2 linked regions of the Bombyx mori genome follow. The protein of the gene in region 1 binds, or shares a complex with, the protein of each later gene. Links are inferred from orthologs where the notes say so. Each region holds a gene or a part of one and is shown on either strand. Other genes may lie near its edges. The genes, in order: regulator of nonsense transcripts 2 and regulator of nonsense transcripts 1.

Region 1 (4,378 bases):
ACTTTTAAGTTTTTGTTTCAATACCTTAACATCTTGTCGTAATTTTGCTTTTCTCGGGGTATTTTTTTTTTCTTGCGTTTGAGTACTTGATTCTTCTTGTTTGACCTTTTTAAAGGACATTTTCCAGAAATTCCAAAGTCATATTTACTAGAAGATCCTCCTCGTTCGCTTAACGTCAGGCAAATGATATACATGCTTGCGTGCGACGCTATTCAATACAATAAAAAAAGTTCAAGAAATACCACGTGATGGCTCTTATAATATGAAAAATACATTGCAAAATTATAGTTTTCACGATTGTTTTTTCAAATTTAGTATATGACATAGATTAAGTACAATTTACAAGACAAATGGTATTAAATATTATAATGAGAAAATATATCTCACATTTTAAAAATATATGCTCACACTAGTAAAAATTTTATCAATGAATCTGACATATGGAAGGATATTCCACAAACTGGAGAGGATTCTCGCTTAAAACCACTTATATTAAAAGTGTTCACCATGATTACACGGAAACTTTCACGATTTTCGAAAAAAAAACAAGCCACAAGCTGTATCAGTGCCATTTTAACTTCGCACTACAAACGTAAATAGACGCCATTTTTCTTTTAATCCATTCATAGCTCTTTTTCGGTGATGCCAACAATTAATCTGGCTTCCCACCAAATTCAACATGAAAACCATCAGAAATCTACGTACCTACCATAAAATTTTCCATTAAACAGAGTTCTTATTAATATAGAACAATATTTTTTTTGTTAATGAGCTTTATTAATATATGATGTTCTATTAAAAATCAATATATATCATATAATCAATACTTCTTATATAATTTATTTTAATAAATTGTCATCATCAGAAAATAAATTCACCATAACTTTGTACGTTTATGTTGAACCAATTTAATTTTTGACGTTGATGGAAATTCTAAATTGTCGCAATATTTTCTAGTTAAGTTTAAGTCACATCGTTTAAATAATATGTATTTAGATATATTATTGTCATAAAATGTTTAAAATCCTGTAAAGTGGATTGATTTTAACCTTTTCAATAATTTTCAACAACGCCCAAGCTACTAAAAAATCCACTAACCACTAAAAGCCATTTTTGATAACTAAGACGGGGGTCCAAATTCCGAGATTTTATGGAAAATCCTCTAAGCTAGCAACACTGCTTTTTGTTTGTAAAATGTGCGAGAGGGACACCACCACTTAATAATCATTCTCTTTTCAGACCGTTTTTCCTTACATCTTTTGCTATTTAAAAATAAACTTTAAGCCATAGAGATAAAGTATATTTTTAGTTTTTATGTCAAACGAAGTAAGCACTCCAGTTAGAATAGTAACTCTATGATTTCATCCCAGTTGATTAATGTCTCAGATTAATAATCTTCATTTCATTTCACTGCATAATATCATTTTTCATAAAAATATGAATATAAATTAAAATAAGACATGACTTAAAGGTCTTAGTTACCAGGTCATAAAATCCCTTTAAAAAAAAGATAATACACATAATATTTATGACACCTTACCCAAATGTTTGTAAATTTTTAAATGAATTAAATGTGATTTGCTGAGTTAATAAATGCAAAAGAAAGTTGCTCACACCATATAGTGGTGTCCATTGGCTTCAAATAATACCTATCTAAAAGATAAAATGACTGCCACCAACAACGATGAGGCAAACGAAACACCTATTGAAGAACCGCTTAAAGATTTAGAAGAAAATGAGAAAGCGGCTCTCGAAGAGTATACAGCTAACTTGGAAGCCAGATTGAAACAAAAATATGAAATACGTAATCAAAATTTGAATTGCTCTCGACCACCAGAAAATTATTTTTCCAAGCTAGATTCAGGTTTGAAAAAGAATACCACATTTGTAAAAAAACTAAAATCATTTAGTGCTTCTCAGCTGGATGTACTTTTGAAAGATTTTGCAACATTAAATCTTACAAAATATATATCAGAAGTGGCTGCTGCAATAGCAGAAGCAAAATTGAAAATGTCTGATATTCCTGCTGCTATAACTCTATGTTCAGTTCTTCATCGTACTTACGCTGATTTTTCATCTAACTTTTTTGAAAACTGGCAAAAGATTTTAACATTCAAAGCGACTGATAAAATAACAAATTCATCAAAACTGCGGGTGGATATAAGATTTTATGCAGAATTAGTGGCTGTCGGTATTTTTATGAATAAAACTGGATTGCCTTTGCTGGGTAATGTATTAACTGTTCTAATAAACATGGACAAAGAAGAGCATAACAATATACCAATTTTGTTATCATTTTGCAAACACTGTGGTGATGATTATGCTGGACTTATGCCTAGAAAAATACGAGAAGCTTCTGAGGTAAGTTGATTTCTTATCAGCTATTCTTTTATTTATTAGTAAATACAGCTAATTATTGTTTCTTAATGTAGGTGAGTACTAAATAAAAGTAAATAAAAAATTAATTTATCAAATTAAGAAAAGAAAAAATGAATATGTTGATAATTTATATTTAAATATAATTGGTGTGTTGCTTAAGTAGTCCTATATAAACAACGTAATACTTATTTTATTTTTATTTGTGGTTTCACACATAACAGTTATAGAAGAAGAACTTATAGAATTGACAATGTGTGGTCAATGTTCAACGATTCTTGATAGCATTCCCATCGTTATATTTGTGTGAACGTGAAATTAATGCTGTGGCAACACTGCTTACTAAAAAGAGAAATCGTTTGTATGTTACCGAAGGCGAGGACTTGATTTTGACTGACTGTTTGATTGACTGTTTTTGAATAAATGGGAACCTGATATCAACAAACTTATTAAACAGCATTAGATTCATCCTTCACCTTAGTTCTTATTTTAGAATCGATTTTTATTTTTATTTTTTTATAAGAAATCTGTCAGAACATTATAAAGTTGTGCGTCAATTATCATTTTCATTGGCAGGTGTTGTGTACTACCTACTGTGCTCAGGTATCAAGTTAACTCTTGAGGTAAAAGTCTCGTTTAGAATGAATAACAACTAATATAGCTCGCAATAATTAATTGAATTTGAAGTGATAGTGGTTTTTAAGTAGGTGAAAAAATGGGGCATTAAAAAATAATTTATTCTCAAAGTGGGCAGTAGATAAAACTAAGTTTGGGAATCCCTCGTTTATATGCATATGTGTAGTATTAAGTAACATTTAGGATGGAATGGCTTAGTTTGTAATAAATAAAGAGCAAAACATTTATTTTCCAGAAACATAATATTCCTGTTCCTCGAAATACATTTTTACCGGCAGAGAAACAAACAGCAGTTAGAACTCTCTTGAAAGATTACTTTCTTTCACTAACCAAACATCTGCTGGCGGAAAGAGCTCAACTTCAAGCTCTGCATGCAGCAAATCAGAGGACTCTGCACACCAGAGGAGAACTCTCACAAGAAAGAAAAGAACAATTAGAACAACATCAAGTAGGCTTACATTTAATATTAAATTTTCAAGTTTGTAATTTTAAGCAATAATATCTTCCTATCTTCTAACTTTTGTCTGATTCTGGTATAATTGAATTTTCATATTTCTATATCATGAAGCCAGTGTTAAAATGACAAAATGAGCAGTTTAAAGACTGTTCCATTTTATTAATTTAATCAACATGTTCCTATTATTAATTAACAAAGGTAAAGTTTTTCTTATGGTCATTGTATACAGTAAGTCCATGAGCAACAGTAACCACTCACCAACATGTGGGCTGTATGCTTGTCTGGCTACAAAGGCGATAAAAAAACCTATACCTACCTCATTCTCTTTTACTCCAGGTACATCTAAAGCTATCAGAAGTTATGAGACATAGATTATCCATTCAGTTAATTATAAACCGACCGAATAACATATTAAAATAATAAATGAATTATTATTATAAATTAGATATATATTTAGATATAATTATAAAATAGATTAAACCAATTTTATACCCAGTTTTTTTTTTGTGATAGCTGAAAAATACAATCTGAGATAAATTTAAAAATAATGTTTGTGAGCTTTTTCATAATCTGTAATTTTGCACATCATTTAACAGACTGAATAGTATTGGCTGGCTTTCTTTGAATAGCATAAATTTCTATAAAGTATATGATATCTTACAATTACCATAATTTGATTAAGCATAAATTGATTAATACTGGTGGTAGGACGTTTTGTGAGACCGCACGGGTAGGGACCACTACCCCGCCTATTTCTGCAGTGAAAGCAGTAATGCGAATCGGTTTGAAGGGTGGAGCAGCCGTTGTAACTATACTGAAACCATAGACATCATATCTCGAGGTGGGTGGCGCATTTACGTTGTGGATGTCTATGGGCTCCAGTAACTACTTAACACCAGGTGGGCTGTG
Region 2 (3,388 bases), on another chromosome or scaffold:
AGCTCGCGCTCTCGGTTCTGCTGATAGCGAACTTCGGAAACTTACTAGACTCAAGGAAGAAGCCGGTGAACTTTCTGCCGCCGATGAAAGGCGATATCGTTCGTTGCGCCGCGCCGCTGAGAGACGCTTACTCGACGCTGCGGATGTCATATGCACCACTTGCGTAGGCGCCGGGGACCCTCGCGTTGCTCGTATGAGATTCCAGTCCATTTTGATCGATGAAGGCATGCAGTCGACCGAGCCAGAATGTATGGTGCCTGTAGTTCTAGGAGCCAGACAGTTGATTCTAGTCGGTGATCACTGTCAACTCGGTCCCGTGGTAATGTGTAAGAAAGCTGCAAAAGCCGGTCTCAGCCAGAGTCTTTTTGAACGTTTGGTCGTTCTCGGAATCCGTCCGTTCCGACTCGAAGTACAGTACCGCATGCATCCTGAACTTTCACGTTTTCCTTCAGACTTCTTTTACGAAGGGTCCTTGCAGAATGGAGTCAGCGCCGAAGAAAGGCGTTTACACAAAATCGATTTTCCGTGGCCCAGACCTGACAGGCCCATGTTCTTTTACGTCACTCAGGGACAGGAAGAGATCGCCGGCTCCGGAACTTCGTACTTAAACAGAACTGAAGCTGCGAATGTTGAAAAACTCACAACTCGGTTCTTAAAAGCAGGCGTCCGTCCCGAGCAGATCGGTATAATAACACCTTATGAGGGACAACGATCCTATCTTGTGCAGCACATGCAGTACCAGGGCAGTCTACATGCTAAACTGTACCAAGAAATCGAGGTTGCCAGCGTCGATGCCTTCCAAGGGAGGGAAAAAGACATCATAATTATGTCTTGCGTGCGGTCCAACGAACACCAAGGAATTGGCTTCTTGAGCGATCCGCGACGTCTTAACGTCGCTCTCACGCGCGCCAAATACGGCCTCATCGTCGTCGGCAATCCGAAAGTGCTCAGTAAACAGCCGCTCTGGAATCACTTGCTCGCTTTCTACAAAGAGCGCCGTGTACTTACCGAAGGACCGCTTTCGAATCTGAAAGAATCCGCCATTCAGTTCGCAAAACCGAAGAAGCTGGTGAACTCTCAGAATCCTGGCTCCCATTTCATGTCCACCTCGATGTTCGACGCGCGTGAAGCCATGGTGCCGGGCTCCATCTATGACCGAGCGCGGCCTCCGCGAGACCCGCTGGCGTACGTGGGGCCGGAGCGCGGCGCCCTGCTACATGCGCCGGTGCCGCCAGCCGCCTTTCCAACTCAACGCCTGCCGCCGCGCATGCCGCGCCGTCGCGTCCCGCCGCGCTTCTCGCAGGAGCCCCTGTCGCAGCAGCCGCCGCTCTCACTGTCGCAGGGCGCATCGCAACCGGACTTCAGTCAGGAGTCCACGGCGCCGGAGTGTCCGTCGCAACCGGACGGGCTGCTGTCGCAGGACTCTACGTACCAGGGCGGGTTCAGAGCACGCTGCAGTCAGTACTGAGAGCGGAGAACGCGGCCGCGGCGCTGACGAGACGACCCGCCCCGACCGGAACGTTAGTCTTCGCCCGTCGACCGTGTTCGCGAGTGGAAACTCAGACCTTGGAAAATGTGTCAGCGCGAAACGAGCCCTCGCGGTCCACGCGCGGGCTAAATGTTACCGCATACAGGGATAGAAATTCATTGGAGGTCCGACTACAGAAATAAACGGAAAACCCGACTGCTGCCGTGTCTATCCCCTTGACCTGTGGCGTAAGGAAATCTTTAATGATTTATCTTGTACGCCTAGAAAATAGAAATCGACATTTACCCGTTTCATCATCTAAATCGACAAAATGTATTATCGAAATTCTTTAATTATTTCAATCAGCAAAGTAACATTTCGTTATATAAAAAAAAAACTTTTAGTATTTTATGTAAATTACATAAGCAACAAAAATAATAAAAGCAGCATGCGAGCAAAAAAAAACGAGGAAGCAAAAACGAATTTTCTTAGTCGACCAAATTGCATCTCATAAATCGAGTCTCACTTGATTTTGGTCAATTGTGAACTCGATGCTTTCATCACCGAATACATTATCGATACCATTTCACAAATAGAAATTCAAGGAAATCTAAAATTTCATAATCAAGTTAGTAAACGGTGTTAGATTCCGGTTATTATTTTTCCACAATCATTATCATTCGTGAAAAGTTCTTCATAGATCGTTGACATTTATTTCAAAACTAAATTTCGTCTGAAAAAATCATGTTCACTTGTAATTGTTTTTCCTTCTACAAAAATCATATAAAATGTACTCGTGCATCTGTCGTTGTCACAAAACAAAAATATAAAAATTAATACATATGACAAGCAATAATTTTGTGCATAATTTCACTAAACATAAGAATTTCTTTTTAATCACAAAGAACATAAAACAAGACAAATACATAATTCCAACTGCTTCTGTTGTTAGTTTCTGGTCATCCGTATATTGGTATTAGTGACTCTTACTTTAAACTAGATTTTATAATGAATTGTTACAAAATCTTCAAACATCCTCCATCTATCATCACCTCTCACAAAAAGGATACTTCACCTTAGATAGCTTGTGTTATATATTAGTTTTTTATGTATAATTGTTTAAAAGTACACTAAAATCTAAATAAAGACGTCGAATGTTAACTGAAATATGTTTAAATCTGTCTTTTAAAATGAATTCATATAAATTTTATGTCCTTCATTCAATTTCACTCGATTTACTTTTGTGATACAGAATTTTGTTAACACCCTCAGTGTTTCGTGAATATTTGTTTATCATCTGTCATTGTTTAATGAAAGATTTTTGTTATGTGTTTTTGTGAAGGAAATGCAATAAAAATTCAAGAATTTGTATATGTTTTTATTTATTTCCGTTAATAAGGGTAAATAAAATTACAATATAAATGAGTATATAAATGCCCAATATAACTATAAATTAATAGGTGATTATAAAATATTTTGCTTATTAAAAAAATAGGCTTTACGCAATTCCAACTTCAGGCCTTGAGCTCATCGCAGAAAATCCAAATGCGTAAGTACTTAAATGTAATACTTAAATAGCATAACTAATCACATATTTGCATTAGTAAAGCTGACAATATTGGCACTACAAATAATAATTTTTTTTATTAAAAGGCACTAATAAATTTTTATGAAAAGAAAATTTAATTGTAAAATCAGTGCGTCACTTTTTTACAGTTCATTAGTTCCCCGCTCAATATAGCTTACAGTCTAAAGACGCAATCGTATGTTAACTATAAATACTAAGAATATTCATTTGTCTTTATATGATCTGTTTGAAACCTTTCAAGTATCAGATGTTAAATGCAATATATTTTATTTGAGCATATAGCAGTAGTCAAGACAATTCATGGATATCTAATATCTTCATACTGTATAAAA

Evidence for each region.
Region 2: the proteins of regulator of nonsense transcripts 2 (region 1) and regulator of nonsense transcripts 1 are in contact, whole or in part, in a crystal structure (PDB 2WJV), measured with the Homo sapiens proteins. The link is inferred for Bombyx mori from reciprocal best matches to the Homo sapiens genes UPF2 and UPF1. Residues at the interface, in NP_056357.1 of Homo sapiens: Val1105, Cys1107, Glu1109, Asp1110, Phe1113, Ile1114, Ala1116, Leu1117, Met1120, Met1121, Asn1124, Leu1125, Arg1128, Met1169, Pro1170, Phe1171, Val1172, Met1173, Leu1174, Thr1175, Gln1181, Lys1184, Leu1186, Asn1187, Val1188, Pro1189, Ser1192, Gln1193, Leu1194, Asn1197; in NP_001284478.1 of Homo sapiens: Asn150, Thr151, Ser152, Gly153, Val157, Asn158, Leu160, Val161, Arg162, Lys164, Lys166, Pro175, Leu176, Gly177, Thr179, Tyr184, Cys188, Asn190, Val191, Phe192, Leu193, Phe196, Pro198, Asp202, Ser203, Val204, Val205, Val206, Leu207, Cys209.

The regions. Positions count from the first base shown.
Region 1 is NC_085110.1:14,020,869-14,025,246, reverse strand, and holds the start of regulator of nonsense transcripts 2, read left to right. Parts: upstream 1-1,492; 5' UTR 1,493-1,665; coding exon 1,666-2,361; intron 2,362-3,247; coding exon 3,248-3,460; intron 3,461-4,378. UniProt on the Homo sapiens protein: Involved in nonsense-mediated decay (NMD) of mRNAs containing premature stop codons by associating with the nuclear exon junction complex (EJC).
Region 2 is NC_085127.1:8,620,952-8,624,339, forward strand, and holds the end of regulator of nonsense transcripts 1, read left to right. Parts: coding exon 1-1,468; 3' UTR 1,469-2,839; downstream 2,840-3,388. UniProt on the Homo sapiens protein: RNA-dependent helicase required for nonsense-mediated decay (NMD) of aberrant mRNAs containing premature stop codons and modulates the expression level of normal mRNAs.